Linked DNA regions of Drosophila melanogaster. The protein of the gene in region 3 interacts with the protein of the main gene of each other region in a pairwise test. Each region holds a gene or a part of one and is shown on either strand. Other genes may lie near its edges. The genes, in order: C15, Pih1D1 and Hs6st.

Evidence for each region.
Region 1: the proteins of Hs6st (region 3) and C15 interact in a two-hybrid assay, tested with the Drosophila melanogaster proteins (one large-scale study listed by BioGRID).
Region 2: the proteins of Hs6st (region 3) and Pih1D1 interact in a two-hybrid assay, tested with the Drosophila melanogaster proteins (one large-scale study listed by BioGRID).

What each region holds. Positions count from the first base shown.
Region 1 is NT_033777.3:21,495,680-21,505,929, forward strand, and holds the start of C15 (C15), read left to right. Parts: upstream 1-4,306; 5' UTR 4,307-4,578; coding exon 4,579-4,751; intron 4,752-6,574; coding exon 6,575-6,990; intron 6,991-10,250.
Region 2 is NT_033779.5:12,713,410-12,726,524, reverse strand, and holds Pih1D1 (PIH1 domain containing 1), read left to right. Parts: upstream 1-4,681; 5' UTR 4,682-4,803; coding exon 4,804-4,872; intron 4,873-4,962; coding exon 4,963-5,074; intron 5,075-7,284; exon of another isoform or gene 7,285-7,480; intron 7,481-8,468; coding exon 8,469-10,631; intron 10,632-10,995; coding exon 10,996-11,876; intron 11,877-11,978; coding exon 11,979-12,038; 3' UTR 12,039-12,129; downstream 12,130-13,115. Other genes in the region: MRP (Multidrug-Resistance like protein 1), read right to left, coding at 1-666, 729-813, 1,907-2,053, 2,182-2,319, 2,455-3,966, 4,041-4,094.
Region 3 is NT_033777.3:20,002,424-20,012,901, reverse strand, and holds the start of Hs6st (heparan sulfate 6-O-sulfotransferase), read left to right. Parts: upstream 1-4,389; 5' UTR 4,390-4,741; intron 4,742-6,242; 5' UTR 6,243-6,481; coding exon 6,482-6,667; intron 6,668-10,478. Other genes in the region: CG17190 (uncharacterized protein), read left to right, coding at 309-1,022; MED25 (mediator complex subunit 25), read right to left, coding at 1,251-3,842.

The DNA.
Region 1 (10,250 bases), 1.5 Mb from region 3:
GCCTCGTTTAATATTTTACTATTTAAGGGCATGTTTTTGATAAGACTGTTGGATGAATAATTATAAAAATTTTTAGACTCGTGAAAGTAAGTTGACCAAGTATGCTGAAGTTAGGTTTCTTGACCATATTACTTTGAAAGAGACAGTTTTTAAATTTATGGCAATCGGTATCACTAAGGGCATTCTCTGGAATCTACATGCTTAATATCAACCTTCTAGTTCTTTTAGTTATTGAGATCTTTACGTATATAGATCGAATCTTCTAGTGATCCTAATCAAAACTCACTGTGCTTAACAGGATCAGAAAGGTTTCTTTCTATTTGACTACATGAATCCAGGGCATTCGTTACGTTCAACATAGGATTTGCTTTCAAATCATTTTCAGAAATGTCTCTAACAACACTCCAACAGCCCCAAGAACAAAGAAAGAAACCACAGTTGCTGATTTTAGACGCTTTTAGGCAATCGTTTGAGCCAAATTACCAGAGACGTGGGGCGCCGTTCACTTCTCCCCGTTCGCCTTGAAATTGGCAAAATATTTTCCCCGCACACACACTACTACACCTACTTCAGGCCTCAAGTCTGATCAATTATTGATGCGTTAATTTATTGGTTGGCAAATTGTGTGGCCAATTGGCTAAAACAAAAACACACGCATTCAAGCCATTTTGGGCAGCCTGGCCTAATCGAAGTCAAGTGTGGACAGACGGATCGAGTTTCAAAAAACAATCACGACGGCCTTGCTCTGGAAAGGAACTTAAGTTCGATTTCACCAAGGATAGCACCCTTCCTTGCGTTGAGGGAAATCACCGAATGAACCAACCCACATATCGAGATACCGATAGCAGTGATGGCAAGGTAGTATTTAGTGAGGTACTGACAAAGTATGGATAGCTATTTGAGATGCGATTTAAAAAACCTTAAAGCTTGAAACTAGATATGTTTTTTAGGAGTTAGGGAAGGAAAGGTATTAGTCTATATTCCCTCCTTATTCATTAGCTAGTGGACCATCTCTACCCGTATATGGCGATGTCTTTGGTATTCATACAAAGTATTCCCGGGTATGTTTGCATTTTAGATTCGCATAAAGGTAAAACTGTCACCAATAATAGCCCAGCCCTGACCGCACATAAAATCCTTGCTGCGCCATCCTGAGAGAAAGTGAGACAGATGCCTGAAGTCAGAGAGGGAGCGCAAGAGATGGCTATAATCAGTATTGGCATTTTAAGTGACACTTGGTCTGCAGAGCTCGGCAACCCCCACAAGCCCCGCTGTCACACCAATCTGGATCACATCCCCCAACCCCAACGGCGAACCAAAGTCGCGCCGTGCTCCGCCATTTGTATATGAGCCAAATAAAAATGCATACCAAATGAGGTTGGCAGCACTGCCAGGATTTCGAACGGCAGGAGCGGTTGGAGCGACTCCTGGGGCGGTATTATTCGGAGGCACTTGCGCCAAACTTTGCTGCTGAATATTCCATGAAGTTGCCAATAAAGTCAAGTGGCAACGACTGAAGCTGTGGCTGCACCAGTTACAGTGCATACACTGAAAGAAGTTCGGGCATTTATTCCAACTAATTTGGTTTTACCTTCGGTAACAATTATAAAATTATATTTTTTCAGACATTGATTATTAGGAATATTCAGCTCTGAGAAGTTAAAACTCCAAAAGTACTGTAAAGATAACAATTAGATTCCAGAGGTTGGTTTTATCCTGTATCCTTACCCTATAAAGCTATGAGATTGGAGCTCCAAGGTTTTAGACCAAGCGGGTACGCCAAATCGGTGATCCTTTAGGTGGGTACTAAAAAAATATCCTACAACTAAATATAAGGATTTTCACAGAAAGTCGACAAGCAGTTAACTGATTTAAAGTTAATTGAATTTCACCAATAATCTGAAAGACACAACCTATTCTCCCAGTGATTGTGTAGATACACTTAGGCTAAGTTTGTTCTGGTTGTTGCTGTTTTGTCTGCCACCCGACTGCAGTGCGACGCTGCATACTAATTTTCCACAGCCCTGCCACCGCCCATCGCCCACCGTCATCTCGTTCTCATCTTGGAATCGGAACCACCACCACCAGCCTCTTAGCCATCTCCTCCTGCCCCTGCATGAATGCGATGTGGTGGTCTGAGCCTCATCATTTCGTATTCATACCAAGCACCAATTCCTCGTCGTTGCTGCCGCTGCAGTTATTGTTGTTGCCTGCTATTAAGTGAAATAAAAGTAAAAATGCAATAAAAATGTTGGCCGCCTCTCGTTTTGCATTAAAATTGCATTACAATTGCCGTGGATGGGGCGCTGTTGTTGCTATCTTTGTTGCTTTTATTACGGCAATTGTTTCTGCGTTGTTTCTGCCCAAATGAAATCCAATTAGCCGACTACAAGGCCTACCAACCAACGACTGCCAGCAGCAGCAGCAAAACAGCAACAATGACATTGCGAGGCGGTACGAAGAGAAATGGAGTTCGCCTCGTGACTTTTTCCAGAGTCCTTTCCACTGCCAAGTGGTGTGCGTGTGCTTTTGTGTGCCTTGCCAATTGAATATGCAGTAATTGCCTTTCTTCATTTTTGGCCATGATTTTTTGCTCGTGTCTGACACAGAAACATGGCCAGTTAAGTGCAGAAATGAATATTTATAGTCGTTACTTCTAGGATCGGACTCCGTTTAAATGCAAAGTGAACGGTTTGATTCTGCAGCCCACTCTCAAGAAAAATTGAATAATAATCAAATTATGAATAATGATATTATAAAGATAGGTAAAGATATGTAGATATAATTAACTAACATAATTTAACATTGAACAAAAAGCTGCATATGCAGCTTAAAACCAGTGATCAATATGTACATACATTGGCACTCTTTTAAATCACAGAATAGTATTTGTGAGGTACAATATAAGACCTTAAAGCAAATCATGTTTAAGAGTAACCAAACTGTGCAAGTAGAGATATAGTAACCCTTTATTATGAAATATAGATATAATTATCCTCTGACCAGTAGCGAATCTCCTAAGCGTAGTAATGCATTATCCAAGTTATCGCAAATAGGATTTGGGATTTTCATAACATTGCCTTATTCTGAAGGGGTTCACATTCCACATCTCGACTCAGCTATCTCAGCTAATGAAAACGGAGTACGCAATCGCTTCTGGCCACACACACGCATTCCATCCAGGCCGGCTAGAACAACACCTGAAACTGAGACTAAGACTAGGACCGAGATCCCGGCCAGCGATGAGCAGTAACATGGCTCGTGCCCAAGAAAAACTGTCAATTAACCCGTGGGGTGAACTTGTGGAAAATGCCAGAGCTGCTGCATCCACTGCATGCCGCGCAATTTGCATTCGCATGGCCGGGGCAAATGGATTGGATTCCTGTGGCTTCAGCTCGAGTCTGCTTATCGCAATCGCCGCCTGCCAAATGCCAGGCGATAGCGCGTAGAACTCTTGGCGCTAATAAAGATCTCAGTAGTAAGCGGTGTGAGGTGGTGAGGGGTGACATTAGGCGGTGGTGCAGGGCAGCCCTCCTGGCCAAATCCGCTGCTTTGTGAACTCAAGCTGACAGAACGCTATTTCCAATTGTGCTATTAATCTGCCACATTTGCACTTCCGCGGAAAAGAGTCGGCGGGCGGATGTGATCTCTTTCGCTCGTCAGTTGGCTGACTCGCTCTGCAGGGGTGATTTGCGGGCGAGCGAGTGAGACAGAGCGAGGCAGAGTGGTAACGCTTGGCTAACCTGAAAATAGAAACAATCGAAATAAAAATACATTCTCTTCATGCTCTCGTCTAATAAAAAACCCCAAAAGCAAAACGTTTTCCATTTAAAATGTCGTCGCAACTGCCAGCGGGAAGTGGACGTCGAGAGTGGCAAGTGTGTGGGGCAAACTCCGGCCAGCGGCCAATGGCGGTTGGCCGAGGCCACGCCCCGTGGCTCAATTACCGACCAGTGCTGCCCATCGGCGGGCAGAGCGAAACCTGTTTCCACGAGCGAGAGGCAGTCAGGCGCATGTGCGATCAGAGCGGGATGGATGGCTCAAGGGTGGACCAACCAGAAGAGGCAGGTTGCTGGTATTATGGTAGGTTAGGTTCAAACAAGGTGGCAAACTGGCTCTTAACCGAAATAGGAAGGAAGTCGGCAGCGGCGTCGACGTCGGGCAACTGGTTTGACTTGTTTCCGGCTCACTCCAACAGCCCAAACCCACCAGCAATCGGCAGAGGCAGCCAAGTCGGCAGAGGGCAGGCAGAGCAGCGGCCGTCGGCACAATTTGATTGCATTTATGAAAAGCGTTTTCGCCCGCTAGCACGCGTCCGCTCCCAGCTCGCAATTCGCCATCCGTAATCCGTAAACTTTAATCCGTAGACCGTAATCCGTGAATCCAAAGCAGTTCTCAGTTGGAATTTCCCGCAACGGGTAGTGCTTAAGCGCGGAAACTGAATTGAAATCAATCGGACGATTAGTGTGTGCTTCGCGGTTGAAACACTCTACATCTAACTATTAAGAGAAAAGAGTGCCCAATAAGATTCGAAAAGTGCAGTGAGCGAGCTCCAAATTGGCGCCACTAATTGCCAAAATGTCCAGCCACGAGGAGGATGACCATGAGCACGAGAACGAGCACGGCGAAGAGGTGGAGGAACAGGAGATCCACGTGGATGTGGACTCGGACTCGCGGATGTCATGTGGCAGCGGATCCGATGTGGATATGGACGGCGGCAGCTGCTACGACGAGTCCGAAACGCCATTGAGGTGAGAAGGAGAGCTTTTAAATAGAACCAGGAAGTAGGAAAAATGTCCCAAAAATATAGATATTATCAGTATAGATATACCATAAATAAGCAGATCTTCCAATTACAATAAGACTTCTACATATACATACATATATTATTTTTTTAACTAGATTGTGATAAAATGCTTTGGCTTCCGTACTACTTACTTAAAACTGAAGAGGCCTTTTTTTTTAAAATTCATTTTGGTAAATATTTTTCAAATATGAATAACGTCTGAATTTATGTACGTTGCAAAATCGAACAATAAAAAATATTTTTGGTTTAATTGTATCGTAAATAATCTGCTACACTAAACTTGAAAAGAGATTGCATCTCTATTAATAATAATAATGGCTTTACTTTCAAATTATACGATGTACAAACATAATAATTGGTCTGAAACAATTCATTACGGAAAATCCCCAAAAAAAATATATTAAAGAAAAAGCTCAGTTTTTCGTTTACTCTTGATGGTTATGATCATCATGCAAATTAATAAATATTTTTTTGTAAGTACTGGGCTTGATTTAGTTGGCCACATTATTCGTTAATTACTCATAAGTCAAAATTTAGATCGACAGCAATTTGATCGACTAACTGAGAGAAAAAGATCTATAAGCTATAGTTATAATAGTTGGCATACAGTCTTATTTTATTGCCCTATAAAAGTCAAACAAGTATTGTGGCGGAGAAAAGCTATTTGCATTTGTTATTACGAGCTCATAACTCCCACTGTTTTACGATCTTTAACATTGTCACTCATAATGCTCACAAATCCTATTTTTCGAATCGTGGCTCAACGCCATTGAAATGCGTTGATGTTTAAGCCCCATTGTCCGCTCTTACAAATGGTCCCATTTTCCAGCGACAAAAGGGGATAACAAGATGCCAGAGCATCCAGCAGACCGTGTTAACTGATCCCATTCAAGCGTTTGTGCGCTTAGAAGAACAGTGTGAACAAACCTCTTAAACGCTAATGAATTGACCACAAAGCCACCAAAAGAATCAAGTCGAAATGTCCCATAAAGTGCCAAAGAAACTCCCTGAATTTACATAGTTCACGGATGGCCAGGGTTTCCAATAGACGACGACGATAAAACGCACATTAGTAAGGCGCCAAAAACGGGCTGTGATAAGACATTGGGGTCCATTTGGGGCTCAATCTGGAGTTGGATCTTCGGCTTGAATGCCGGACAAAGACGAAATCGTTTGTCGGATTAACATTTTAATAGAGATCGTCATAAAAATGCCATAAAACCCGCGTTCCAGCGAATGTAGATCACCAGATAGCAGCAAGTTTTGGCCAGTGAAATAATATGTGTTTGCTCATAACTTTTGATATTGGAAAGTGTCTGTGTGTCGGTGGTTGGCGATTTGAGATCATTGTTCCGATACAATTCCATTCCTGTTCCAAATGGGTTTTTACTTTTTGGATTTATAAATTAAATGCCGTGCGTGACTTGTTTTCGGTGCGTCAGTTGATGGCATTTGATGATTTATGGGCGCGTATTAAATGCCTCTAACGGCCGTCAGCATTTGCATAATTACTTCATTTCCAGCCGCATTGCGTATACGCAGCGGTGGCCACACGGGTTCTGCATGTCATGTCGTCAACTCGGCTTATCCGCTCGCGTGGGCTTTTGGTTAGTGGTTCCGAGACTGGTACGCACTGCAACAGACTTAATTATAGTCAATGTTCTCAGGCTTTCCCGCTTATCGGGCGACACATTTTAATGAGCCCGCACCTCCAGAGGGCTTCTTTCCCTTCGATTCTGATGTCTTTTCTCCGGTTTTTATTCCCAGCGAGTCCCTGCAGTCGGAGCAGACGCGCTCCTCGTCCAGTGAGAATCTGCCCTTCAGCATATCACGCCTGCTATCCAAGCCCTTCGAGACGAGTCACCACCACCACAACAACAACAACCACCTGCTCAGCAGCAGTCCGGGCTCCAGCAGCAACAACAACAACAGCGGCGAAAAGGGCGAGGAGAAGGAGCTACTGCAGCAGGAGGACCACGACCTGGCCTATAAGCTGGCCACCAGCATCGCCAACTCGACATACGGAAGCGCCGCAGCACTATACTCGTATCCGCATCTCTATCCCTCAGCGGCCGGCGGTCATGTGCTACGTGTACCGCCCCAGAGAACGCCGCTCACCTGGGCACTACCGCCACTGCATCACGCGGCGCTGGCACATCAGGCGGTCAAGGATCGGTTGGCAGGTGAGTGAATAGCAGCGAAGTCAAGAGGGTTTGCCAAATCCAACCCATTCGGGGCCCCCATGTCGGGATGGCCCATGTTCGCCGAGATCTTTCGGGGGAGCGATCCTCCAATGACCCGCGGTGGCAATTGCTACTGTTCCCCAAATAAGCACGATCAGAGAAGACTTTTAAGGCAACATGCCTATCGGCATGTCATTGTTGGCCAACACATTCGTGCACCAAGAGAAAATGTGGCATTTGAAATAAAAGAATTGGTAACATTAAGAATAAAAATGTTATATATGTGCCTACATAACGCGTAGTTGGATGCATTCAATTGTGCAATAGGGTGTAGGAACATAATTTTAAACTTCTTGATAAAACATATTTTTGTATATTCATTGTTGAAAATAAGGTGCGAAGAACGTTGTCTAATGGTCTAAAAGGGCTTACTTACATATTTCCTTATAATATAATTACGATGGTCTATTAGATGGTATTTTCTGTGGGTAAGAAACAGCTTAAGGCTAGAACACAGGTCTCATAATACGAATTTTCGCTCAGTGTACACTCACTCTGGTGAGCTTGGGATGCTAAAGTATAAAAACATGTTTGCCTTCAAATGCGCAATCGCAGCTTAAGTTAAAAACTTAACGCTGAGCCGCCGCCCAGAAGCGACTCAGGAATGAGATGCGCCTTCTTATTTGCATGCGCATGCGCAGTTGAATTTGTATCTGTATCTGTCGCTGGTCCTCTGAATCCGTATCCGAATCTGTATCTGTATTCCATCTGAATCTGCAACTTCACGTGCAGCTGGGTCTTCTGGCTCCCTTTTTGTTAATTTGTTTACATTATGAGCTTCACTTGTAGCTACAAGCGATGGGCACAGCGCGAGCCCTTTGAAATAATGAGACGGCGTTGATTTTATTACGCCTCGGCAGCCGAGGGATCTTCAATGGTGTGGAAGGGGGATCCCGATAGGGTTCGGATCCTATAACTCATAATATTCGGGCCTTTTTCGGCCTTGTGATGTGGAAAAGCTGCTTAGGAGCAGCGCAGCCCGGCAATCTGACGGGCTTTTATGGCCGACATCCGCCCAGTGGTTCTGGTTAGCTGTTTGGCCTTTTTCTTCATTTTAGTTATTTTAATGAGCTGGTTTACATGACTTTTTAATTTCGCGCTGCGCTCGAAAAGGAATTAATTACGCATTGGGCGGTCGCTGGGCTCAGCGAGTGAGTTTTCTGTCCTCGCCGGCTTATTTATCGCCGCATACCGCACTTCACATTTGAGTCCAACTGACATGGTCAGCTTTTAATTAGCCAGTCGAATGCTGGCGATCCGAGGGCTGCATATCCATATCCATACTTGTGTGTATATCCGCCGAGGAGGGGCATTCGATCGAGTGGATCGTATAGAATGGAATGGGATCGGATCAGTCACTTCGAGTCGACTATTCCACCTGAGGGGCACACTTATGAGCCCGCCGGGTGATCCAAGCTTCTGCCGCTCGGTTTCGTTTTGTCAACATCTTCGTTTTCGTCTTGGTCTTGGTCTCGGCCAACGTCTGTGTCTTTTTGTGTTTATTGTGTCGCTTGCCTTGTGGCTGATAAGCTGGCGCCTTGGCTTTTTTCATTAACAAGACAAACGAGCGTCCAGGGTGCGGATCCGATCCGATCCGATCCGATCCCTTCCCGCGACCAAAGTGCTCCTCTCTCTTCCGCCGGGGCCCTTAGCGCCATATGATTAATAACCATCGCATGTTAATTCTCGTTATTTTTTGGGAAACTACGTCGCAGCAGGCGCCAATTACTTTTCGGCCATGCACGCCCTAATGCAGTTTCATAACAGCCATAATAGCCTGATTGGAAGGGAGTTGGGCTTTTGTCACGACACTTGCCCACACGAATGTTACCAATCAATGGCGGAGTAGGATCTATAGGCTAGTGTATAGAAATTCCCTTTACTAGGGAGCTCCTTTAGTAATTTAGTATTTAATATTAAAAAATGATGTAAACTCCGTGAGACTGTATACTAATTTGCCATTTAACAGTTCCCATTTGCATGCGCTTTGATTGGTTACGTGCTAGTCTTGAGGTAACTAGTATATAACTAATCCAAATCACTAGCAAAGGTCAGAGTGCAGCACTTTTGAAAAGAGACCAAAATAGCGGAGTGGGAGGAAACCAGTCCCAGCCACAGGCCGTCATCAATAATGCATGCTAAAAGCTTTTTGCATTATTTTAGGTATTTCTGGTGAGACTTCTCGGCCGCAGCCACACACTCACCGCCATCTGTATCTTAAAGATACTTGTGTTAGCTTGTGCGAAACATCATAAATAAGCTCGGTGGAGCACGGTGGAGTGCCGGAAAGCTATAAAATTATGCTTATGCGCCTTAACCTCCCTCTAAGCGGATATGTTACATCCTTGAAGGATACACACATCTGAGCTGCGGCAGAGGGGAAAATCCCGAGGCTGCTGCTTATGTGGTGCGATAAATGGCTTTTTATTGAAATTGATATTGCCTGAAATATTCAAATGATCGGCAAGCCACAAGACCTCCGACCCGAAAACCTTTGAAAAATTTATGCACCCAGCCTCGAAAGTTTATCCCCTGGGCGGGAAAAGCCCGAAAAAAGGGTTACCGAGAAAAGTCGCAATAAGATGCATGATTTGTCAGCTTAACACCCGCCATTCGTTCGCCGGCATTTGATGGCTTTTGACAGCCCAACGCCATTTTCCTACGCCAACTTGGACACCCATAAACACAACTCAGTTTCAATGGGAGCTGGTCGGGTTTAAAACGAAAAGTTATATGCACATTGAAAAGGTTTTCATACTTTAGAAAGTATTCCAAGGGATTGGGAAAATCCGACTTACGCTGCAAATCATTGAACATTTACGCTCCAGTTAACGAGTTGCGCGTGTATTTTCAAAATCATGTTGAATGTATCGCTAAAGTTTTTAGGTTCCTTAAATAAGTTAAGAACTGAGAAAGCAGTACATTCTGCTTTATGCAATGCTAATGAGCACACTTGAAATTAGATCATTTAAACATTTGCCACCTTTACTGAAACTACACGTATTTTTCTCTACCAGGAATGATATAAACAAATTGCTTTTTGCATAAATGTATTAAGATTTCTTTCAATCATGTTTTTTCGTTGTCTGCGATTAAAATGGCATTCAAAGAATTGAGTGACAGTTGATTAATTTGAATAGTTTTGTGGCATTATCAGTATGGTTTTAAATTAATCATTGCTAAATTGTGTTAAAAATCTT
Region 2 (13,115 bases), on a different chromosome or scaffold from region 3:
AGTCGGCAAAGGCGCCTTTGTTCTTGACCAATTGATCGAATGTGCCGCTCTCGCTGATCTCGCCCATCTTTATCACATAGATGCTGTCCACCTGGGGCAGGAAAGTCACACCATGGGTGACCAGCACGCGGGATTTTCGTGCCAATATACCCTTGGGTCCGATAACCTCCTCGAAGATGTGCTTTCCCACATGGGCGTCCACTGCGCTGAGAGGATCATCCAGCAGATACAGATCGGCATCACTGTACACAGCACGAGCCAACGAGATGCGCTGCTTTTGGCCACCTGATAAATTAATGCCTTTCTCACCGATTTCCGTGAGATCTCCGGCTGACAGGATGTCGATATCGGCACGCAGGGCACAGGCGTCGATCACCTTGTTGTAGCGCTTTCGGTCGTAGGTCTGCCCGAAGAGGATGTTGTCCCTCACCGTCGCATTCTGAATCCACGCCTGCTGCGGTACATAGGCCAACTTGCCCACAGTGTTGACAACGCCCGCAAGTTTTTCCATTTCACCGAGGAATGCCTGCACTACAGACGACTTGCCGGAACCGACCGTGCCAACCAGGGCCACCAGGCTGCCCTTCTTCACCTCGATGTTAATGTTGCGCAGCGTGATCTCATCACCCCACGAGAACTCGCCGTTCTCAATGCTCATTGGATGGGCTGTATGTATAAGGGATATATTTTAACTTCAAGATCTTTACAAACTTCTTGAATTTTCTTACGTTTAGAGGAATCGTGGAGAACGCTGTTGGGATCCAGTTCCTCACTGTTCAGGAACTTATTGATACGATTCACGGAAACTTGCGTCTATTCGTTCGCACATGCAATATGGGATATCAGTTAAAATTGTTTCGCCAAATAGGTAAATTTTCATACACAAAATATGTTAGTAATAGGTTTGGGCAAAGAAAGGGAAGATAATGTGGATATGTGGAAAAATGCATCAATCCAAATCTGAATGAATATGGAATATACTCGGCTATTCCGAGGATTTTATATACCCCTGCAGATGGGCAAGGAATTGCCATATGCGAAGAGTTAATATGACTAACTCTAAAAAGGGATTTTGTATCATATTTAAAAGTGCCCTATAATATGTCTGCAACCAACTTGCATTTCACATTTTCACATTTTTCTTTCAGACAAATTTCCATAACATCGTTATATCTTTAATTAAATCCCCCTTAAATGCCCTCTGCAAGCGCATATTCGAGATCCAAACAAATGGTTGCTATTGAAACGGATGAAATGGGTACCCAACCACCAGATATATGACCATTCGGAACTGGTTTGGTTCGGACAACTTTCAATCCCACACGATTGTGACGATGAGCATACAATTTCGGTATAAATGAGTGTAAGGATTTAATGCAGGGTAGGGGGGAGGATCTTTGGTTAGGGGAATACATTTCGGTGTAAATTCGATTTGGCTAAAAAAGAATTCAAATTAAGTAAATAAACATAAATCACAATCACAAAACGGCACAAAATCGACGATCACAGTGGCGCCGGGGATCGGCAAAAGTTATAAGGAAAGTGGAATCCCTCAGCCACACTGTGATCGACTAGAGTGGTAGTAATTGGTATTGCAATCGGGCGTAACTTACTTGCACCAGGTTGGTGATCAGCATGGGCAACATTGTTAGCGGAAATCGTAGAATGTTGAATAATGATAATGAGACAAAGGTTTTGGTGGCATCAAGCACGTTATTTTCATCAATTAAAACGTAAGTGGCGAATGTAACTAATGAAACCTAAAAGATAATACACAATTTCGTTTAAGGCGTTGATAAAATGTTCGTTCTTGATCCTTGATCTGAAGTTGATGGATATAGGAGAGGCGGAGAGGTGCACCATAGCCGAAGAGGTTGTTAATCCATCGCCATCGCGGGAGCTGTACCTCGGCTATGTCAACACTCAGCATGGGCAGGATGGTCAGCGGGAGTTTCATGAGGTCGAAGAGGGCGATTGAGACTAACACCTTCTCGACGCTCAGCTGATTCGCCTCGCTGGTTAGCACGTAAGTGGCGAACGTGACCAAGGAAACCTTTGTTTGTTCGGACACGAAGTACATATATTTGCCAGATTAGTCCAATGCTACACGTCCAACTCATCTCAGTCAGCTGTAAAGAAATCTCGGAGGACTCAGAGCCCTGCAGGGCTGGCATATCTTACCAGGAACGGTGCACAGGACCACAAGAACGAAGTGCCCGCGTTCAAGTAGGCAGTGGAGCGCAGCGTCGCAATCTCCTTGTCACGGATGTCCAGCACTTGCTTCTCGAAACTCGGTTCCCAGGCGTACAATTTGAGCACCTATGTGGATTATAAAAACGGTTAGCATAGAATCGACATAGCATCGACTTCTGACAGCAGTCAGCATGACAGAGGATAATTGTTATACTTAAGAGATTAGGCTTCTACCTAATCCCTAGTCCTAGTGCCACTCACCTTAATGCCACTCAGTACTTCGTTCATCAACTTAACACGCTCATCTTTGTACTTCATCTGTCTGATCTGATAGGTCTTGATGCGACTGGCAATCACTCCGTTCACAGGGATCAGGATAATCATCACAGCCAAACCGGCCAGCACAGACGGTCCCAGTTGCTGCCAAAGGAAATACAGGGCTAGACCGATCTGCAGTGGCGCCGACCAGATCATGTTTAAGTAGGTTGTCAGTTCCATGAATCGCTGGGCATCCACGGCCATCAGGTTGACGATCTCGCCCACGGTGGACTCCTTTTTGGTGGAGTTCGAAATGCGCAGGGCCTTGCGGTAGATGGCATTGATCAAAGCTGTCCTGATTCGCAGGCCCACAATGAACATTCGGTGGAAATATTGCCCCAGAATAAAGGTCTGTGCAGCGGCCAAAACGAAAAGCAGGACAGCGTATAAGATACCCTTCCATTCGGGCTCGGCATCTTGGGCCTCGACGAAGCTGATGATCAAACTCAGGACTTGGGGCTGGGCAAATGTCAGGGTGTCGGTGAACAGCTTCATTAGGGCGCCGAACAGAAAGACGCCTCCGAAGGACTTGTAAATTGGCGGCATAATACTGGCCATGCCCTTCTTGCGGCCATTCTTCTCACCGTGGGGATTCTCAAAGGTCACGTTGCCATTGCTAAACTGCGCCTTGGGTTCTACGCGCGCCTTGTTCTTGTAGTTCTTGCGCACGTTCTGGTTCCAGTGGTGGGCGAAGATGGGCATGACCTCGGAGCAGCTGTCCTGCGGCCTCAGGTCCCACAGATCCTTCTCCTCCAGCGGGTTGCGATAGCCCTTGAGGGCCATTTTGTCGAACCACTGATAGGTGATGCGGGAAAGGAAACTGGCTGACAGTTCGGGAATCTCGTTCTCACCCCTCTGGTACTTGGTTTGTCTGGGCATTCCGTCCGCGAAGCAGTTCAGGATCAGCATAATGCTGGTGAAGGTGAAGAAGATAAAGAAGCTAACGAACTGATACTCCTCCCAGGAAAAGTCCTGCTCGGATGGCTGTTGCGAATTCAGAATCTTCTGGCGCTCCGCGTCCAGTCGAACTTCAGTGCGGCAGCGGGGAATCGACAGCACAGTGAGCAGGAACCAGAAGATGAACTGACATCCCGTGGTCTGCACGCCATACTTTCGATTCAGCGGGATGAATATGAAGAGCAACAGGAAGGTGGCGAACTTGATGATGGGACCCCAAACATCCAGGTCGTAGAGCGGCAGCTCAGAGTCGCCGCCCTTCTTGACCAGCGCCATAATTAGGTCCAGGGCAGTGATTACCAGCAGACCCAGATTCACCAGAGCTTTGCTCACGTTCAGCTTGTTCCACGGTATATTCCTGTCCAAACTCGCCTTCAGGTAGTAAAAGTCAAAGATCACGAACGCCCAGTAGAAGGCGCAGGGTGTCCAGACCAGCGCCGTTTGCTCAAAGCAGGGCGTAAAGTCCGGATCGTTGGTATACCATGTCTCTGTTGCGTTCTGTTCGTTGGACACACGGAAACCATACATTTACACTATGCATTCGGATTGAACACCACTGCTGATGCACTCACCCAGAACGTGGATCCGCAGAATCTGTCCATCGGCGAACTAGTGTCATCCGCCATGGTTACTCGACTGCTCGGCAACCTCCTCCACGTGCAATTGGGCTATATGCGTATGCTATATCGGGCGATGTGGTAACTGTAAAGCGGCAAGGAAATAAACGGATCTATATTTTCGGGCCAACAGCTGTTCCTTCCCAAGCCGCACAACTACAACAACCGCTAATCGTGACAGTGGGAAGTTGATTGCTAGTATTTTTCTGGTATTTCGCGGGCACAGTGGGTGTCGGATGGAAAATGAGTGTATAATTCTGCACTGCGTGTTATTTTAATTGTTTATATTGATTTAAGTGAAACTTGTAATTTTTGTACATAAATTATTAAAATACATTTGCTTGGAAAACTTAGTAGAAGCAAGTAGAAATCAATTGCATTTGCAACAGCAAAAATACAAATGAATTTCTTAAATTTGGATTAAGCTTTTAAAGTTTCATATAGAAATTCATAGCAATTATTCTCGAAAATTCTTGTCATTTACTTTTTATTAATGAGCACCCTGTACAGGGAAAACGCCTATCTAGTATTTTTAGCCTATCGCATGGCATTAAATGTTTTTCCACCGGCGTTCACACTGTCACATTAGTTTTCATTTCAATCGAGTTGACAGCTCCATTCTGGCAAATAAAATTTGCGTTTTTCGCTCGTCGCTCAGCGCAAAAATAGCATTTGCATTGGATTAACTCGTAACTGGCAATTGAAATCGTGCAGCAAAATGTCGCGTCGTTCCAATTTCATTGAGGGCAACGACAATTTTCGCGACCAGAACCTGCGCTTTGTGCGGGTAAGCAAAACTTGAGAAATTCGATGTGAGGAACTATCTGCGCCACTAAAGATGAACTTGTTTTTTTTTTTTTTCATTTTCTAAATGCAGAACGAGTTTGAGGACAATATTAACCAGTACTTTGGAGGCGCCGATCCGGAGGGCAGCGGCCCGCAGCAGAAACCGCCGCCGCGAGACTCGCTGATTGTCCAGCCGACCGCAGGTAAGTGGCGTCCATTGCAACAGCCGGAGCTTCACATGGCACAGCAATCGCTGCCGGTGGCGCGGAGAATCTAACCGGAGATTACAGCCAGCTAGTAGTAGGCATGACTCTGGGTTTATGGTCTACTTAGCACTTGTGTGTGCACAGTAATCTCTGCGAGCGCGGAACCATGTCAACCTGATAAACATCTCACGTCGACGTCGATTGCGCGTAATCGCTCGGGGTGGTACAGTGAACCCGCGATAAGGCGAACAAACGCACGCGAATGGAACACGTCATAGGACAGAAAAACCCATCCTAACGAATCTTCGACAAGACTTTAAAAACCAATTACGAATATTGAAAACATATCCGAATTACTTGTATTTAAAATTGAATCAATTGCTCTAAATTTTTTAATTAATTCCGTAAGTTAACTATAGTTTGTGCACACTTTTTGTATATTCAAATTTCCAATCTTTTAATGGTTATTAATTAGTATTTTGCACTTAACTATTGGATAATTCGTCAAAACAAAGGCAAAAAATCAATTATCCAAACAAATCAGTTTAATTCCTATGCACACTATTATTTGACAAACTATCTATCGTATTGAAACAAAAAGAGGGTTGAGCGGGTAGTTAGTACGAAGTTTTGTAATCTAGCCGTCGTTATTGTGCGCTACGGCAGTTAAGTGTTTACATGTCCAGGGCCACTTGGAGGAAGGTCTAATCGCGCCCACTTGAAACGATAGTTTATAGTCCAGCGAGATTGTACAATGCCAATGACAAATGAGCGACTAAAACGTGTTTCCCCGCCTCGAAGAAGAACTAATTTACACAGAGATACACACAACTAAAAAGAAGGAATGAGAAACTTTAAGCGAATCTTGAACGGAGCTCATAAAAGGTATTGGGCTAGTCACATTTTATGGGCGCCAAAAACTTGTTTGCCCCGTACACGCATGTGTTTTAAGCCATTTGACTTTAGATAAAATTCTAACACATCTGAAACGAGTATTTTCAGTTCGATATAATTAACGGCGAAACCTGTTCCCGCAGCGATTATATAAGCACAAAACAATCGGCAGAAAAAACCCCCTTACAAAACCTAATATTTCAATTGTACGAAATGTGTGTGTTTTGCCTTTACACCCAAGTGAAATTTCTCTTTAAAAACAAAAACGTCGACTCACGATGAGATGCTAAGCAAAATGGCATGGAGATCTCTTGGCTGCACCATAAAATCAAGGAGAAAACCTGACAATTTTCTCAGCAAAAAACGCCACTCTCTTCACAACCTGACTGACACACACGGTTTGTTTGTTCTGGATCAGATCATGCCAGCCGGCACAAATTGTTTACACCGCCAAAGAAGAGTGATTTATTTACAGAATATCAACGACACTCGACACTTGATGACTTTTATTAATAGGGAAAAAGCTGAGATAAGGCTGACTGGCTGCATTTAGCCAAGTGTGCAAACTCTGGAGAAAACAACTTCCACATAGCGAGAATGATTATACGAGCAGCTCCTTATCGGGGACCCCACAGCTGAACCTTATCGTGTGTGCTGCCTGTTGCTGTCCCCCTACTAGACTCTTCCATTGTGTTTGTCGTTGCTCCAGTTATGAATTGCACATCGTAAACCCTATATTGCTCCTAATCGCACACTTGTTTGCTCCACTTGCTGCTGATTCTGAGTCCTTGGAGCTTGATTACCATCGGACTGGGCGAGAAGCTGTCGAACCCACAGATCGTAGGCCATCTTTCAAGGCCTGTGACGTCAGTGGAACCCACGAGGCAATTAACTTCAAATTTGTTCGTACGAACAGCAGTACGACAACCTTGCGCACCACAATTTTTACACTTTTTCTGTTATCAATTAAATAATCGAGCTGCGAGCATGACAAAACACTTAACCATATCAAACTACTTTGAATGTGAATCATCGATTTCTCGTCAGTTCTTTTTTTTTTTTTTCGTATTTCTTTCGTTTGCTGAGAAATGTTTGCGCGGGATATTCTGGAGCCTTTCGGAAATTTCACAATTTCAGGCAAAGAATGTGGACACACAGAGATAGATACACAACACATAGATACGAACGCACACTGGCACACTTGTTCCGCTTTGGCGGAATCCAACAACCACATATCAACAAGGGTATCAAAAATGGACGGCGGTGGTTGTTGTTGGCGGTATCGATGCGACTGAAATGTCACTTATAATTACCTCTACGTAGAAAAAAACTCGCTGCGATTCAAACGAATCGGTTGTGGGGGATCGGAGTGAATAGAATCGAATCGAAACAAAACGAGCCGTAGCGGTTGAGGTCGGATCGCTATTTGGATTTGGATGGAGGGCAGCGTCGGCGGAGCACTTCAAAATCGACGGACAACCGGCTCGTTACGAGCAAAAAGGCAAACTGAATTCGAAGCGAGCGCTGCGAACAAACTTATTTGTTTTCCGCGCTTTCCGTGCTCAAAAAAAAAACAACAAAAATGAGATAATAGCGCCACCTCGGAGAGCGTTTAACTTGGCTCTTTTTGTGGCGCTGACTGCCTGGTGGCCGCCCGATCAATTAAAACCCCCTGCCATCAAAGCACCCGACTCTCCAATAATGCCAAGTTTGTCCAGAATAAAACCCAGCTGAAAGATACCGACTCTCTTTCCTGATTTTAAGTGCCGATTTAAACATATTTTCCTGCTCTGGTGAAATTATTCTGAACCGAAATGGACACACGACGCGACTCTTAAACGTTTTGTTGTCGCAAGAGCAACAAAAGTGGGCCGAAATGATAACGATATCAACAGTAGTCATACAATTAAGAGCATTTAATGGGTGTTTGGTTGCGAATTCTTCACGATTTTGGTATAAGCATGACCATACCTATTGATTATCAGTTTATTGTGTGTTTGATGCCATAAATGTATAATTACTGAGTAGTTTCTTAACAACTACAACTACAGGATTTGCTGCTATGCATTTCGAAAGTACACACCAATAGAATAGAATTCTGTGATAGAATTTCTAATCTAATCAATTTAGATGTTTAATTTAAAATATGAGATAGTGGCAGTGCTTAGTGTTTATAGATTGACAAAAAATCAAACATCAAACTTAGTCAGCATTTTGATAACGACTGAAAAGGCAATCAAGTAGTAATGCAATTGAAATTATCATTTTTTTTTGTGTTGTACAATTTGTTAAAGCAATTAAAGGGTGGGAAGAAATGCAAAACAAAGCAAATCTATTATAGATTTAAACTAAAATTTGTATGCATATTTTCAGTGAGCATTGTCGTCATGAGTAGATTAGATTGGAATTGGTTTGCTAAACGTGACCACATAGCTCTAACCTAAAACGTGTCTGCTTTTTTAAATTTTAAATTTCATATGTGGTACCATGAAAATAGCCAACAGCGAGCTGGACAATCGGCGCCAATTTCTCCGTGACCTGGGCGCCAGTCGGGTGTTGGCCAACGCCTTGGCGCAGCGCACCTTCAATGTGCCCAAGTTCAACCTGCGCCATTTCCAGCGCCAGAGGTTCCGCCTCAGCGTCGAGCTGGGCGACAGTCACCAGGATGTGGTGGACAAGGAGGTGCTCCAAGCCATCGAGGAAGCGGTGGCTAGCCACGACGACGTCGAGTCGCGGCCACGCACTCCGTCGCCGCCGCGGAACATTGATTGGCACAGCGCCAGGATGAATAACTCACCGGCTAATAAGGATCGATCGCGTTCTAGGAATCGTCAGAGAGAGGAAAATTTCCCAAACAACAATCGCGGAGTTGTGGAACAACGGGAGCCAATCAATAGGAATTGTGGACCCGTAAATCGCAATAATCCTGGCATGAATCCTGCTGAGTTCAATCGCAATCGTTATGCAAATGCGCAGGACTTTAATCGAAATAATCGAAATATGGACAGAAGTGAATTCAATCAAAATAATCGCAATTTCAACCGAAATGAGGGTTCACGTCCCAATCCACAGGATTTCAATCGTCCCAATAGAAATCAAAATCCACAGGATTTCAATCGTCCCAATAGAAACCAAAATCCACAGGATTTCAATCGTTCCAATAGAAATCAAAATCCACAGGATTTCAATCGATCTAATAGAAATCAAAACCCCCAGGATTTCAATCGTCCCAATAGAAATCAAAATCCACAGGATTTCAATCGCAATAATCGTAATGCCTATCCGCATGAATTCAATCGTAATATCCGAAATGATAACGAGCAGGAATTTAATCACAATCGTAATGCAGTCAATGATGAATTCAATCGCAATACTCGTAATGTTAACAACCAAGCATTCCCTCAAGGACATAACCATAACAATCGTAATGCGAATGCACAATTCAATCGCAAAACTTTTGACGAGAACCCAAACTTTAATAACCAACGTTTTCAAGGACCAAATCACCAGATCAACTATCGTGTTCAGATGCCAAACAATGATCATTCCCAAGTAAACAACAATCGCAGGCCTGGTAATCAGAACTTCGTTTCGAATCAGCAACCCAACTTGGATCGTAATGCTATAAGCGATGACGGCATTCAGCTGCCAAGAGATCGATTCCGTTCGCCTGAAGCGCATCCAAAACAACCACCATATCCACGTAATGTGAACGCTGACCAGGTTGGAAACCGTGGACCCCAAAAGAGGCACAATTATCAGCGTATTGTGAATGACAATCAAATAATACTACGTCGCACCGACTGGACTGACGAAGAAGAGGATCTAGATCTAGAACACCATGATATAGACGACTATATACCCGATGAACGCGAATTTCTTGAAGATGATGCCGATTTCATCGATGACACAAATGATACACTTATGAATGATGATCAGTATGAGGGTTACCACTCAAGGGGTAATCAACACTACATCCAAGATCATAACATCGATGATCGTAATTCATATGGACGCAATCGCAACGATCGTAACTTTGAGGGCATTAGGCGCCAGTTTGATCCAGAACTCGATCGACGCAACTTAAACGACAACTTCAATCAGCGAAACAACTATTCGCGTGGCGGTGACACCGTACGCTTTCCCCGAAGGGAGGATGACACATTCCAAGGCTCAAATAACCCTAATTTTCCACCGAACTATCCAAACACTATTCTCCGTGGATCGGGTTCTGGAAATCGTTGCCGCGATACGAGCTCTAACAGACCCATGGGTCCCAATCAAAACAGACGAAGCCGCCTACCAAATGCTGATGAAGCTGCTCCAAGTGTGGCCCATTCTGGGGGTCCCATACAAGATGGAACTAATTTAAATCGTAGAATCAATAAAAATTTAAATCCTGGCAAGGGGCCAGATCGCATCAATGCTGGGACTCCTAATCAACCCAGATCCAAGTCAACCACATCTCAAACTCGAAATCTAAATCCTGATATTCCAAACAAAATGGTCAAGAAGTCGGCGGTTCCACAAGACAATCGTGCACCGCAACCAAACAAACCTATGAACACCAATCCTGGTGCATCCAAACCTGGTCAGTCGGTAATCAAACCGAAACTACAGGCAACCAAGATCAACGCGGCCATGGCGAAACCGCTCGCTGGTAAGGGATAAACTTTTGAATTCTTAATAAATTAAAAATTTGATACAAACCAATTACAAGCTAGCTTATAGAGCTTTTGTATTGGTTTTAAAGTGTATAAATGATTTTAAAGCCACATTTGGAATGCAAACCCGTTAAAAATATATCCCTTTTTTTTCAAATGCCTTAAATTAAGGATCGTACTCTAGCTACAAGAATTTTTGATAAACCAGTTTTGAAACACATTTTCTTGGTTTCAAACCCGATTCGAAGTTATCAACTGCATTTCATACTTCAAGAAGCTAGTCATAAATATGCTTTTGTTTGGTTTGCATTCCGAAATTATCGGGTATACCCAAAAAACAATACATGTTCAATTTTGCAGGGATAAAAAGAAAAGCTGAGACTACTCCAAAGTTAGGGGGGGCTACCAAAGCCGGGCCAAAACGCCAGAGAGCGGATCGAACAGATCGCAGCTTCATTATAGGCGGCATTAGTCTGCCCTATATCAACAGCAATACCAAGAAGCTGCCACAGCCGGAGGAGCAGTCATACGCGGTGACCTTCTTCGAGCAAACGCCCAACTACAACACCAACATATATGCCATCGACGATGGCCATGTTGATGAAGACGAAGGTGATGGGGACGACGAGGAAATGTCCGATGCCGAATCTCTGGACTCGAACCGATCCGGTGTTCTGTCCAAGTGGAAAGGACGCAGTTCGAAGAAGAAGGTGCGCACCCAGTTGCGCAAGGAATGGACAAAAATCTATAGAACCAATAACTACAAGGACTGGCACGCCTGGTGGCGGGATTTCAAGTGGTGCGGCAGCGAGATTAACAAAAAGCTAGAGAAGTTCGGCGATCGCAATCTGCGCCACCGCTTTGCCCCCATCGGCCGGAAACCGATGACCGGAAAGACGATCAATCAGATTTTTAAATCGGGCCACATGGGTCTGGAGAAGAACACCTTTAGCCACTACCGCAATATGCGTTCGATTTTCCTACTGATGAACGAAAAGTTCCTCAACAGTTTGTCTGATGAGCAATTGGAACAGTTGCAGGACTTGATACGTGGCGTTCCAAATCACTTGTGGCTCTACAAGATCCGCAGCATGGTCTACCTTTGGGAAAGGTACCATGGCACTCTTAAAACCCATTCAGCTAATAATTTCAAAAGCGATAAGGAAATTCAATCCATAGCGAGAGAATGGAAAAGTCCTGTCTTTCACTGGTTAGCCAAGCAGGCTTTCGATGAGCTTAAGGTGAGAAAACAACATTTCCCAAAGCTAAAAGTATCTGAAAACCTTAAGGAAACCCAAGTTCTACTATCTTCAACTGACAACGAACCTTATCTTTATTTATAGGCAATCAGCGAGATCGCGTGGCCGGATCATAAAAAAATCTATCCCGGCTTGAAAGCATAATTGAATGCGAAGCATATTGTATAAGATTGTATATGGAATCAAAGCCAAAATAAAACAAAGGGGTTTGCTTTTGCAATGGCCCATACGATTGAATCGCCTCAACTTTCTATTTTTTTTTTTTAGCTGCCAGAAACTTTCCAGATAACAAGCCATTTTAATAATACTCAACTCTTTTCTGTTTCCCCATTAGGAATCTGCGTGAAAAGCTTCAAGACAAACAGTGATGAAAAGTTCTTCATTAACGTGTGCCAGGCAGCGGAAGTTCCAGCACCGCAGGATGTCACCGAGGAGGAACTGATTGGCATACTGGAATCCACTACTCCTGGCTCCTATCGAGTGCCCATGAGCATCTCAGATCCCAGATTCACGAAGGATCGTTCCGATAAGACCGTCGATGTCTGCGACATCGCTATCAACCCAAAGTTTCTGGTAAAGATCCAGAAGTCGCAGCTCTTCAAGAACTTCTTTATGCAAATTGTGATTGAGGCGATGAGCGAAAAGTATAATGTGCAGCTCAACATGGAAAAGACCATTATTCTGAACAATCGCAAGTTCATCGGCACTTTGGTCACTCATCGTGTGCGCAACGAAGATATGAAAAGGGCCCAGTCTACGTCCGGCATTCCTGCTGCTCTTAACAGCCGGGATGGTGGGGCTGTGGCACCGGAAAATTCCGGAAAACTGGTGCAGGAGATCGACGAGAAGGATGCTGCTGCCATAAGGAAGAGTCGACAGTCTGCAGGCGGCGGTTTTCTGGATATACAGTACAAACTTCGTGGTCGAGTTCGTGACGAGTCCGTTGACGAAATCCATGCTGAGATCTACTTGCCCAACTACGTAAGATTATTATGGATGCACAGAGAAAAAGAAGTTTATTTATGTCACCACATCAATCCGCAGGTTTCTTCGCAGGAGTTCAGTCTCCTTGTCGGCGAGGATCGTATCGTGGTGGAAACCCGCAAGTATGGCTATGTGTTCAACAAATTCGTCAACTACCGTCTGCAGCAGGATCGTGCACAAGCTCTGTTCGATAAGACCACCAAGGTGATGCAGTGCACCAAGTTTGGAGGATTCAAA
Region 3 (10,478 bases):
ATCGATCTCTATCGAAGCATAATTCAATCTTGGCAGAATTTTGAGATCAAAATTTTCAAATCGAGATCTTTGAGAACGGTTTTTTCTCTAAGTGTATAGATGGGCACATATCATAACTTAGAAACCTCATCTTTGATTTGTAAAGCAGCCATATCTTATTCAACCAAATTCAAGGTCCAGTGACGCGTGCGCGTTGGGATTTGAATATAGAAAGCCTTATTACCGGTCATACTCAATATTCATTAACGTACGTGCAGCCGGTCATTAAGCGCCAATTATAGATTCCATTTCTCCGAATGTATCTGCAGTTTTTGTGGCTGCTACTGCTGACGACGACGACGACGACGACGTCCGCCAAGCCCACCAACTCCAGTGATTCTGGCACCAAGAATGGAATGCTGCATGTGACCAGCTTTGTGAACCAGAAGCCCAAGTCGGGAGTACGTGAAGAGTTCGATTTCGAGCAGAATGAGGCGGAGGCCACCAACTCGGCGCATCTGCAACAGCTCTTCGGCAGTTTGTTGCAACTGCCTGGTAAGGGAAACATGAGTCTGGAGCTGTCCCTGGAGACGGACGACGATCCGGTCAGCGAGCGAAACCAGCTGGATGATGAGATGAAGGCCACTGGCGAGCAGCATGAGGGCTTCACCGAAACTGCGGATGCATGGCATCGCATTAAGCTAAATATTCCGGTCCTGGAGCCGGTGAAGCACCTGATAAACACAGTTGGCGGTGGCGGCGTGAACGACTCCCATGTGAAGAGCAATACTCATCGGCTGATTGGACACCATGGCGTCCACGAAACTCACCACAATGGCGGGAACATCAGCTCCCCGGCCATCGAAACGGAGGAGGATCGGGAGACAGCCATCGACAGCACCGGATTCGATGTTCTGGAAACGTTGGGCAGCGCGGGAACGGTTCTGTTCAGCATCTTGCAGAATCTTCGCAAGGTGTTTGCCGCTAGCGCTGGAAGTGCAAGTTCCGCATCCTCGGGGGGCGGCGGCGGTGGAGCAAACTAGTGGACTTTCTCGGAGATTATGTTCTGTGATTAATATAAGTCTTGTGCAAATTCGGATTTCCCTTGATTCTTACTAATTAAATAAACGAAATGTTATGAAAATGGAGAAATTAATATTTCGATTTTGGGAAATAGATTTTGCCACTACCCCAAAAAAGACTTGCAGTTGGATTTTATAAAATATTTTACTGTCTTAATTCTGGTTTTTTATACGATACTCTTAAGTAGCCTACATGAACTCATAGTTTCCGTCGTCAAAGTTGCGATTGCCGACCATTGGACCGCCTGCTCCCATTTGATTGGGATTCTGGCCACCCATTTGCGGCCGGAACTGATTGCCTGGCGTGGTCTGGTGCTGCAAGAGCTGGCGCAGCCCCGGGTTGTTGTTGCTCATCATGGGACGCACCATGCGCTGCTGCTGCTGTTGCGCCTGCTGCTGCTGCATTGCGGCGACGTTTGGCGCCACTTGTTGCAACTGCTGCTGGAGGTTTGGATTGGGCACGCCACCGGGACCAACACCCACGCCAACACCTACGCCCAGTGGCATTCGCTGTTGCTGCATCATGTTCATCTGCATTTGATTCTGTTGCATGGGCATGCCGCCGGGACCGGGACCAGGTCCGCCGCCAGGACCTCCACCACCCATCTGCATATTGAGTTGGAACTGGTTGTAGTGTTGCTGCTGCGAGTTATCCTGTTGCATCTGTTGCTGCTGTTGTTGTTGTTGCTGTTGCTGCTGCAGCTCCATGGGCGACTTGCCTTGCTGCTGCATCATTTGCTGCTGTTGCTGCTGCTGTTGCATGTTGCCGTGCTGCTTTTGCTGTATGACTTTGCGCAGACGTTCCACAAACATTGCCTGATTATTGGGAATGAAGCCCAGAAAAGCGTTGCGATCGGGCGTGTAGAGTAGGATGAGAACCTTAAGGTCACAGGCTGGTGAGTTGGGGATGGAGGAGAAGTGGACGCAGCCAGCATAGCCGGAGGTCATCATCTTGGCCAGCGAATCGAGTGCCTCTCCTGGAGTGGGTCGAAAAACAACCATTTTCGAGTCCTTGAGAAACTGCCCACCAATATTGCCAACTAGGTGCTTGGGCATTAGCTGCATCAACAGCTTGGGCGGCCAGTTCTCAGCCTTGATCTCGGGCTCGCCATCTTTGATGTTGGTGCACACGGTACACTGGAGTGTATGGGGAATCTTCTGTTGATCGGACTTTGGCTTCTCTGACCACTCCAGCACTCCGGTCCATATCTTTTCCCTCAAGGAGGCCTGCTCCTGCTGCGAATTTCCCTGCTGTTGCTGCTGCGGATTGCCCTGCTGCTGCGGATTCGACTGTTGTCCTACTTGTTGTTGCTGCTGCTGCGGATTAGACATGTTGCCGGCATTGCTAGCCGGCATCATATTGTTTCCTGCATTGGGATTTACCTGCTGCTGTTGCTGTCCTTGCTGCTGCTGTTGCTGTTGCTGGGCCAGTTGCTGTTGCTGCTGCAACTGCTGGTGATTTAGCATCTGCTGCTGGCTCAGCATCTGCATCCTTTGTTGCTGCTGCTGTTGGGCCTGTTGTTGCTGCTGCTGCTGCTGCTGCGCCTGCTGCTGTTGCTGCTGCTGCAGCGAGGTCACAGTTTGGTTCGGCGGCGGCGCATTAATGCGCGATATCAGAGCAGAATTTGGATTCTGTTGCATGCCGCCGCCTTGGCCCACACCGCCCACATTGCCTGCTCCCTGCATGAAGGGCGGACGCGCCTGACCAGGCTGGTTGGGATACATCCAGCGGTTTTGGCCGGGTCCCACGTTTTGCTGGAAGTTCTGATTCTGCATTTGATTGGAAACGAATTGATTCTGCTGCTGCTGCTGCAATAGTTGCTGCTGCTGCTGTGGATTGAGTAAGCCCGCTGGGGGATTTGGACCGGGCTGCTGTTGCTGCATCGTGTTCATGTTCATGACCTGCTGCTGAGGATTGCCTTGTTGTTGCTGTTGCTGCTGCTGTTGTTGTTGCTGTTGCTGCTGCTGGGCTGGAGTGGTGTCCATGGGCATGCCCTGCCCTTGTTGTTGCTGACCAGCTTGATTTTGTTGCTGTTGTTGTTGCTGCTGCACTGTAGCCTGTGCCGCATTGGGTGCAGCCATTTGGGCCGCCATGCTGTTGGGACTAGGTGCTCTCTCCTTGAGGCTGTATCCCTTTAGAAGCACTAGGTGTCTTATGTTCTTGGCATAGTTTTTGCTCGTAATGGGCTGATCTCCGTCGGCCTTCATGAAAAGTTTGAACAACACCGGCATCTTGCGTGGCGCAATAATGGAGAGATTGATTTTGCGCTCGTTGAAGAGCGCCGCCAGCTGCTCACATGATTTGCCCGGATACTTCCACGACTCCGTTGTGGGCATCTGGTACGGCGGACTGTTGCAGATGAGAATGCAGTGCCTCTGGACGCTGGTCTGATCGAGCAACTGGCGCCTTTCGCTGATGTCATCAAAACAGCCGTGGGCCGCAGCAAATCCTTCGGCCATGTGGGCACAGGACTCCATTCCGCCTCCCACTAGTGGCAATCTTTCGATCGTCTCCATCACTTTTTGGGGCTGCAGAAAGGGACCATAGGTTGAACAAACTGGCTCCAGCAGATTGGCCGCTGTACGGTAGACCACAATACCGTACAGAGTGGCAAAGCGCTCCGCAATCAGGTATTCCCGCTCGTCGATGGAGCCAGTGGTGAAGTGCTCCAAAGTCGGCAGGATGTAGTTGGTCTTTAGTTCGTTGATGTAGGCTCCGTTGATGGCGCTGCCCTCGATGACGAAGACCACGTCGGCCAGGGGAATCTGGTCCACCTCCATTGGACGATGGGAGTTGGCTTTAAGTTGAAAAACTTGTTGCAAAAAATGTAAACTATGTTGTCTGCTTTACACCGCTCTTTTACTTTTTTCGTTTGTTTTGCATATCGCTCTGCTGCTATCGATAGTCAACTTATGGTTATCGCTCAGCGATTGCTAGGGCTGCAAAATAAATGAATATTCAAAAGTGCCCATAAAGTTGGATTTAAGAATATGCAGATTGCCTTGAAAACTTGTTTCTATTGAATTCTTTTTCTATTTTCACAAATAAAAAAACGTTTGGTGTTTATCTAATTAACTTAAAATTGAATATTGCATACAAAAGATAACTATAAATAAGATATTACGATGTTTTATGTTAGGTATCATAATTATAGTTGTTTTATGTATGTATTTTCAATGGAACTATAAAGTTAATTCTTTAAATATTCGTTACCAATAGTTTATATCGATGGTTGCAAGTGCTGCCAGACTCTCGCAGCGAGTTTCCGTTCGGCAGTCTGGCAGCGCGGTCAGCTGTTCCTATTGCCCAACTTGCGCAGTTCGTTTTGTTCAGTTCATTCGCCGATTTTGAAGAATGCGGACGTTGACGCTGGTACCGCGTCGTTTTGCCAAAATAATTCGTAAAAAATATACGCAAAACGCTTAGAAAGTGTCAATTAACTAAACATTAGCTATTGAGCAGTGCAAGTGCAGGAAAAACGATCGCAGAAATAGCCGAAAACACATGAAAGTGCGAATTGCGGGCTTTTTTGTGGCTGGCACAGAATGTGTGGCACAAAGCGGAAAGCGCGCTAATTGAGCGTGCGAGCGCCTGAAACGCAGAGAAATGTAAATAAATAAACGTGTGACGCCGCGACAATTGTGAAAAGTGCACAAACACGACGTTTGGCAAGTGAAAAGTGAGTGAAATCTAGATAAATTTCATTAAATTGCCCATTTCGCATCTGGCAAGAAGAACAGCTGTTGTTTGGCATCTCGCTCTGTCTGGTTGTCCTCTCTCTTATTTTGCCCTCTCTCTGTTTTTGTTGCTCCCCTTTGCTTCTGTTTTTTTTTACTGCAATGTTGCTAAATCGTTTGATTCTATTATTATAATTATACTCCTTGCCCTGACGTCACTGCCTCGAAAAACCTGATAATTTGGGTAGGCAATTAGCATGGTTTAAGTATAGTTTAGAGTACAGAGAAGTGAATTAAACGGCCATGTGTGCACAGCATGCATGCTTTTTTGTTATTGTTGCCTGGCAACATGTTTCGCCACATCTGCCTTTTTTTTCTTGTCTCTCTGTTAGTCCAATTTGCCAATAAGCAACTTTTCCATTTGTTTACAATAATTGTGATCGCTACAGAAGCACCGATCGTGAAGTAAAAAGCGCCTACATAAATATAAGGCACCAGTTATGCTTGGGCGTCACTCCGACTGCCGATCGCCAGTTATTTTAGTTGGGTGTTTGTACATTTAAATACCCTACCTAAATGCAACTTACTCGCATGTAGTCAATATCATTCAAACCCTAATATGTTACGCATTTTCCAATCGGGTTTATCACATATAAACAATATCGAAGCCAGATAAAGCGACTTGTGATAATAATCACCCATACAACAAAGGCTGTTCATTCATTATATTTACCATATTATTGATAACTATTTTTATAACTGAACTACAATATGTTCTTATAAATAAAGAATCACTAGATAATTTAAATATTAAATGAAATAAGTACAAACTATTTTTTAACTATAATAAGTTATTATTTGAGTAATTGCACGTATTATCATGTACGGATGTAGGTTTTTTGCTTTAAATAATAAACGTATTTAAACGTATTTTTAATTGATTAAGGGTATACTAAATGCATTGCTTTCGGCTCCGCCATTCACTTTCCACTATTGCGTCATTATTGGTTGATTTATGTATTTTATCGTTACGCTATACATTTGCAGATCGCATTCGCGCGTGGAAATTTAATTTAAGATTTCCCACACAAATAAAGATAAATTTGTTATTGCACAAACGTTTGTTATTCACGCCCGTCTTGAATACTTACTAATAGATTTGCAATTAAAATAGGGTCAGATTAAACGATAAATCAACTTCACCGCCTGCTTATCAGTTTTTGACCCTAACAAAAAAATAGAAAGTCCAATTAACTATGTATGTACGTTTTAATTGTGAACTTCTTATCAGTCTGCCATAGATTTAGGTTCTTAAAAACTATTTTTGATTTTCCCCTGAAGAGCTTTCAGCTACTAAGTAAGTGGCTAGATAAGGGCTAGACAATTTGACAGACCGCTTTATCGGCATGGTCAAGTGGTAACTAATCGGAAACGGTGTTGCTTTTGTAGTGCTCCCAAAACTAATAGGTTTCTAACCGTTTTTCACTCTTACTCCATTTGCAGGCACTGAAAGCCGAGAGACAAGGAAAACCCATTTCCGCGCCAAGTGCAATGGGCGAAGGTGTTCCCATTTTTCGAGTTCTTATCGGGCAGCGACTGAAGTATGATTGAGTTGGCCTCGCCTCCGATTCGCGTCTGGTTCTCGTTGCGCTAGGCCGATACGGATACCCGCTTGGACTCCACTCGGGTGGACCCTTGTTGGACCTTTAGTGCGATTTTCGAGGGAGGCCAGGGAATGGAACATGCCCGGGGATATGCATAAGAACGTATCTGTTCAAGTCGATAGTGATTTTGCCTTATTGCTGCCCAGTGGTGTTTATGAAATCAAGAAAATGGAACCGCGCTCCAAAATCCGAACAATCATTGTGTTTTGCCTCTTCCTGGCCATCGCCGGCATCATCGGATTTGGATACTTTTGTCAAGATCAGGTAAGTGCCAAATCCCCTCATTAATTCCCATTGCTTATAATTTATAATTTTCTGTTACTTGGCTCCAATGCAAATTAGCACACCAATTGGCGAAATGCTGAATTTATTCATTAATATTTGCCGTACATGTGTGCTTTTATTGGAATTACCATTCATACATTTTTGGATCGCACGAAACTTGTTTTGCTATGGCGCATTAATAAATTTATTATTTAAAATATTCGTATAAAAATATGCGTTGGAGTGTTTTTCCCTTCGGCGCTAAAGACAGCTTTTATAATATAGAACTCTTTCTCGATGTTTATCAATTTTTTGGGAGCTTTAATTAGACAAAACAAAATGTTTTGTTTACAGCCTTTCGGTTGGCGCCTTTAAAACTCGGAAATTGTTTACGCAAACGCAAAGGTGCTAATGAAATTCCTCCAAAAATGGAAAATGTGTAACATAATAAGATTTCGCTTGCAGGCGATTGTGCTTCTGTGTTATTATTCATAAATCTTTGACACGCGTGCCCCGTATTGAAATTAGTCTAATCTGTAGCATAAAGTTTACAAACAACTATGGATTTCTGGTTGGTATATTTGGGTCACTACTCATAATATCGCCCATAAATCTTCGGCGTGGTTGATTGAAATTTGTCTTATCTGTTGGACTAATAAGGCTTCCCCCCGCGCATCTAATGAATGATTTAATGGCCGAGGTGTAAAGTGCATTCGTGGGCCATAAAAACCGAACCGAGGCAAAACAGCACATAAAATTCTACCCTGGGGACACATAAACCCGCACCAGTCGCTATTCCTTCAATTTTTGCTGCCTCGCGGTGTTCATATACTTGCGTACTTTGGATATATTTAACTATTAATCCAGCTCGTGCCAGTCACGTCTAAAAAAAGCCACGATGAAATTGTTTGAAGAAGGTCATCAATTGCCAATTGCAGGCGAAACAAAAATTTAATATATGTACATACATAAATACATACGCCTCGATGAGTTCTATCATATGTGTGGCTGTTGAAAAATGTTTCAATTTCGTTCTGGCGGTCTTTAATTAAACAAGAAACAAATTCGTTGATGCTCCAAGAACCGAAAAAGAAGTCAAGTGGGCGTGACTTTTAGCAAGAGTTCAATGTCAAATGGCTGTGTTTATGATACAGATATATGTATATAAATGTTTATTCTATATATTTTCGTGCTTTTCGCTTTTTGCTATCGGCGGGTCTGTCTGCAGTGAGCATTAAACTATTTTCCAAATTGAAATAGCTAGCCAAAATGACATTAATTGAGCGCAGCTGCCTCGCCCTCTGGTTTTCCCTGTTTTCCGCACGCGATCTGGCCAGACATAGTGACGAGCAGGGCGTGGCCACGCCCCCTGCCGATGCGTACGTTGGAAAATTCGCCGTCTTTAAAAATAGCTTAATTAGTTGTACGCGCCATAAACGAAAAATATGCTTAGTGCTTGTATTAGTGTGGCGAAAGGCAAACATGAAAATTGGGCTCATGAGGTTGCGTGTCCAATGGAAAACAGACAGATTATTCTATTATTTGGGATGCGAGGGCGGCCCATTTCGGTGATTCTTTCAGATTTGTAACCTTAATGGGCCAAGTTGAATATAAATTACTCGGTCGCAATGGGAGTACTTTGTTCCCGGAATACTTTAACTCTTGCTACTTGGCCTGATAAATTACAAGCTATTTTTAATTGTCCTTCTTTGCTGAACTTAAGTAGCAGTAACAGTCCTCTTTCAGATCATTAAGCCAGTAATGTTACATTACTTGCGAGGAAAAAATGATTTAATAATATGACAGGCAGATAATAAAAAATATAAATTGCTACTGTTCGATAAACTGAATCGCATTTAATTTGGTATTGAAAGGAAAACAGAATTGATTGCTTTGGCGGGTTTGTTTTCAAACAGCTCCGTTTTTTCGGTATATACAATAGGTGCATTTTACTATATTAAATCTAAAAAAATTATTGTTTATGAGTTCTTAAAACAAAGTAAAAAGGTTTTAACTTAATAGCAAAAAATGTAATTGAAGTCTATTTATTAAAACTGCTAAAAGAAACAATCATTGACAGGTTAATAAGTACTTGAATAGTTACATTGCTTTGTTTCTGACACATTTTTAAATTTCAGCTTTAATTTACAGCCTGTGGCATACAATATTGGTCAGTAAAAGAGGAAACTTTATTTGACAGTTATCTTCGCAGTGTTTGTTCCATTTCTAAAGTAGCCACAAATGTGTAAACACTATCTGCCAGTTGAACATAAACAACATCGTTGACTCTTGCTCGGAATATTTAATGCTCTGCCTCGTTGAAATGCTATATTTTTTTCTAATTTGGTTTTATTTATTTCAATTTATGCAAATTTTAAATCACTGAATATTTATTCAGTCTTGATAAAAAGCCATTAATTAAATACCGCGTTCAAGTTGTTTGAGTATGTTTGAGTTTTAAATAAATTGCGGCTGGAGAATTTCGTGATTGCTGTGACGTCCGATCTGCAATTGTTTACGCACATTTCAAATAAGGTCCAAAGTTCAATTACAGGTGGTGTGTATTTGTTTATGCACTTCACTTGGACTCTTTGCTTTATCTGATTGAATAAACAAAAGGCGATGTTTATTATTTCGATACGCTTGCATATTCAGTTTTCATAATTGCTGCAGTGGTTGTCTGGATTTTGGTGCAATTCACAAAGCGCAGCTAATGAAATGAAAACTATTTATGACTTTTTCTGTTTTGTTTGGCCGAAATGTTTTCCGAAATTTATACCCGCACCTCAACCACAATGAAAATGTTTTGTTTTAGGTTTTTACGGCGCATTTTCCGCATTTATGTATATGTTTTGTCCCCCTTTTTTTTTGGGCTTAGTTTACTTACCAAATTACAGGGGAATGAACAGCATATGAAATTCGTGTATTTATATCACTGTTTTTATGTCTCTATTAAAACTGCACAACACTTGTCGTTACCAGCTAGATCGTGCCAAACTTTGGCATCGGCTTTCGGGCCATAAAAAGTTTACTCCGTGAATACATTTTGGTTTTTGCTTACGCGTTTTATTAGCAAAGATTTGTTTGTCCGCTTCATTTCATTGTCGTCGTTTTATGGCAGCGTTAATCAATTTAATTGAGTGTGGGATTTCTACATTTTTATTGAGAATTTTTTTGGTAGGGCACTTTATCAGATTTGTCACAAGATTATAAATCGCCTAGGGGATTTAAATCTTTCTGGTGAAACGGAGGCCCTGCTGTGCCTTAAATGTCTCAATTACCTTTAGCTCTTTGTGATCTCTGTGATCGTGTGCTAATGATTTAGTAGGTGATTTAATACCCCAGGCTTAGCAATTTATTGTTTCAAACGGTGTGACATGTTGTGTGGGTTCTTCTCTTCTCTTCTTATGATTACAAGATATTCCCCTTAATTGTTTTGGCTGCACGATCAAGATAAGTTTCAGAGCCGCCTTAACTATTTCAGGAACTTTGGCACAATCAATTAGCATTAATATGCCTGCCATGTGACGTCTTCATTACGCTTCACTCAAAGACCAGAAGCCACTGGAGAAAAGCAAAAAAAAAGAGAGGCACAAAAACAGCCAAGACGAGGGCAAACAAAAACCGCACAGCACATAAAGTCCAGGCCAATTAAACTATCAGCCATCTGAAATATATGTGCGGTTGTGGCAGGGAGGGGGGCATAAAGAAATTCAAGCTCCACACATGCCGCAAAAAATCAAGAGCCGCTCATAACTCAGACCGCACATGTCATAAAGCCGGTTGTCGATGGGTAAAATACGGGAGGGGG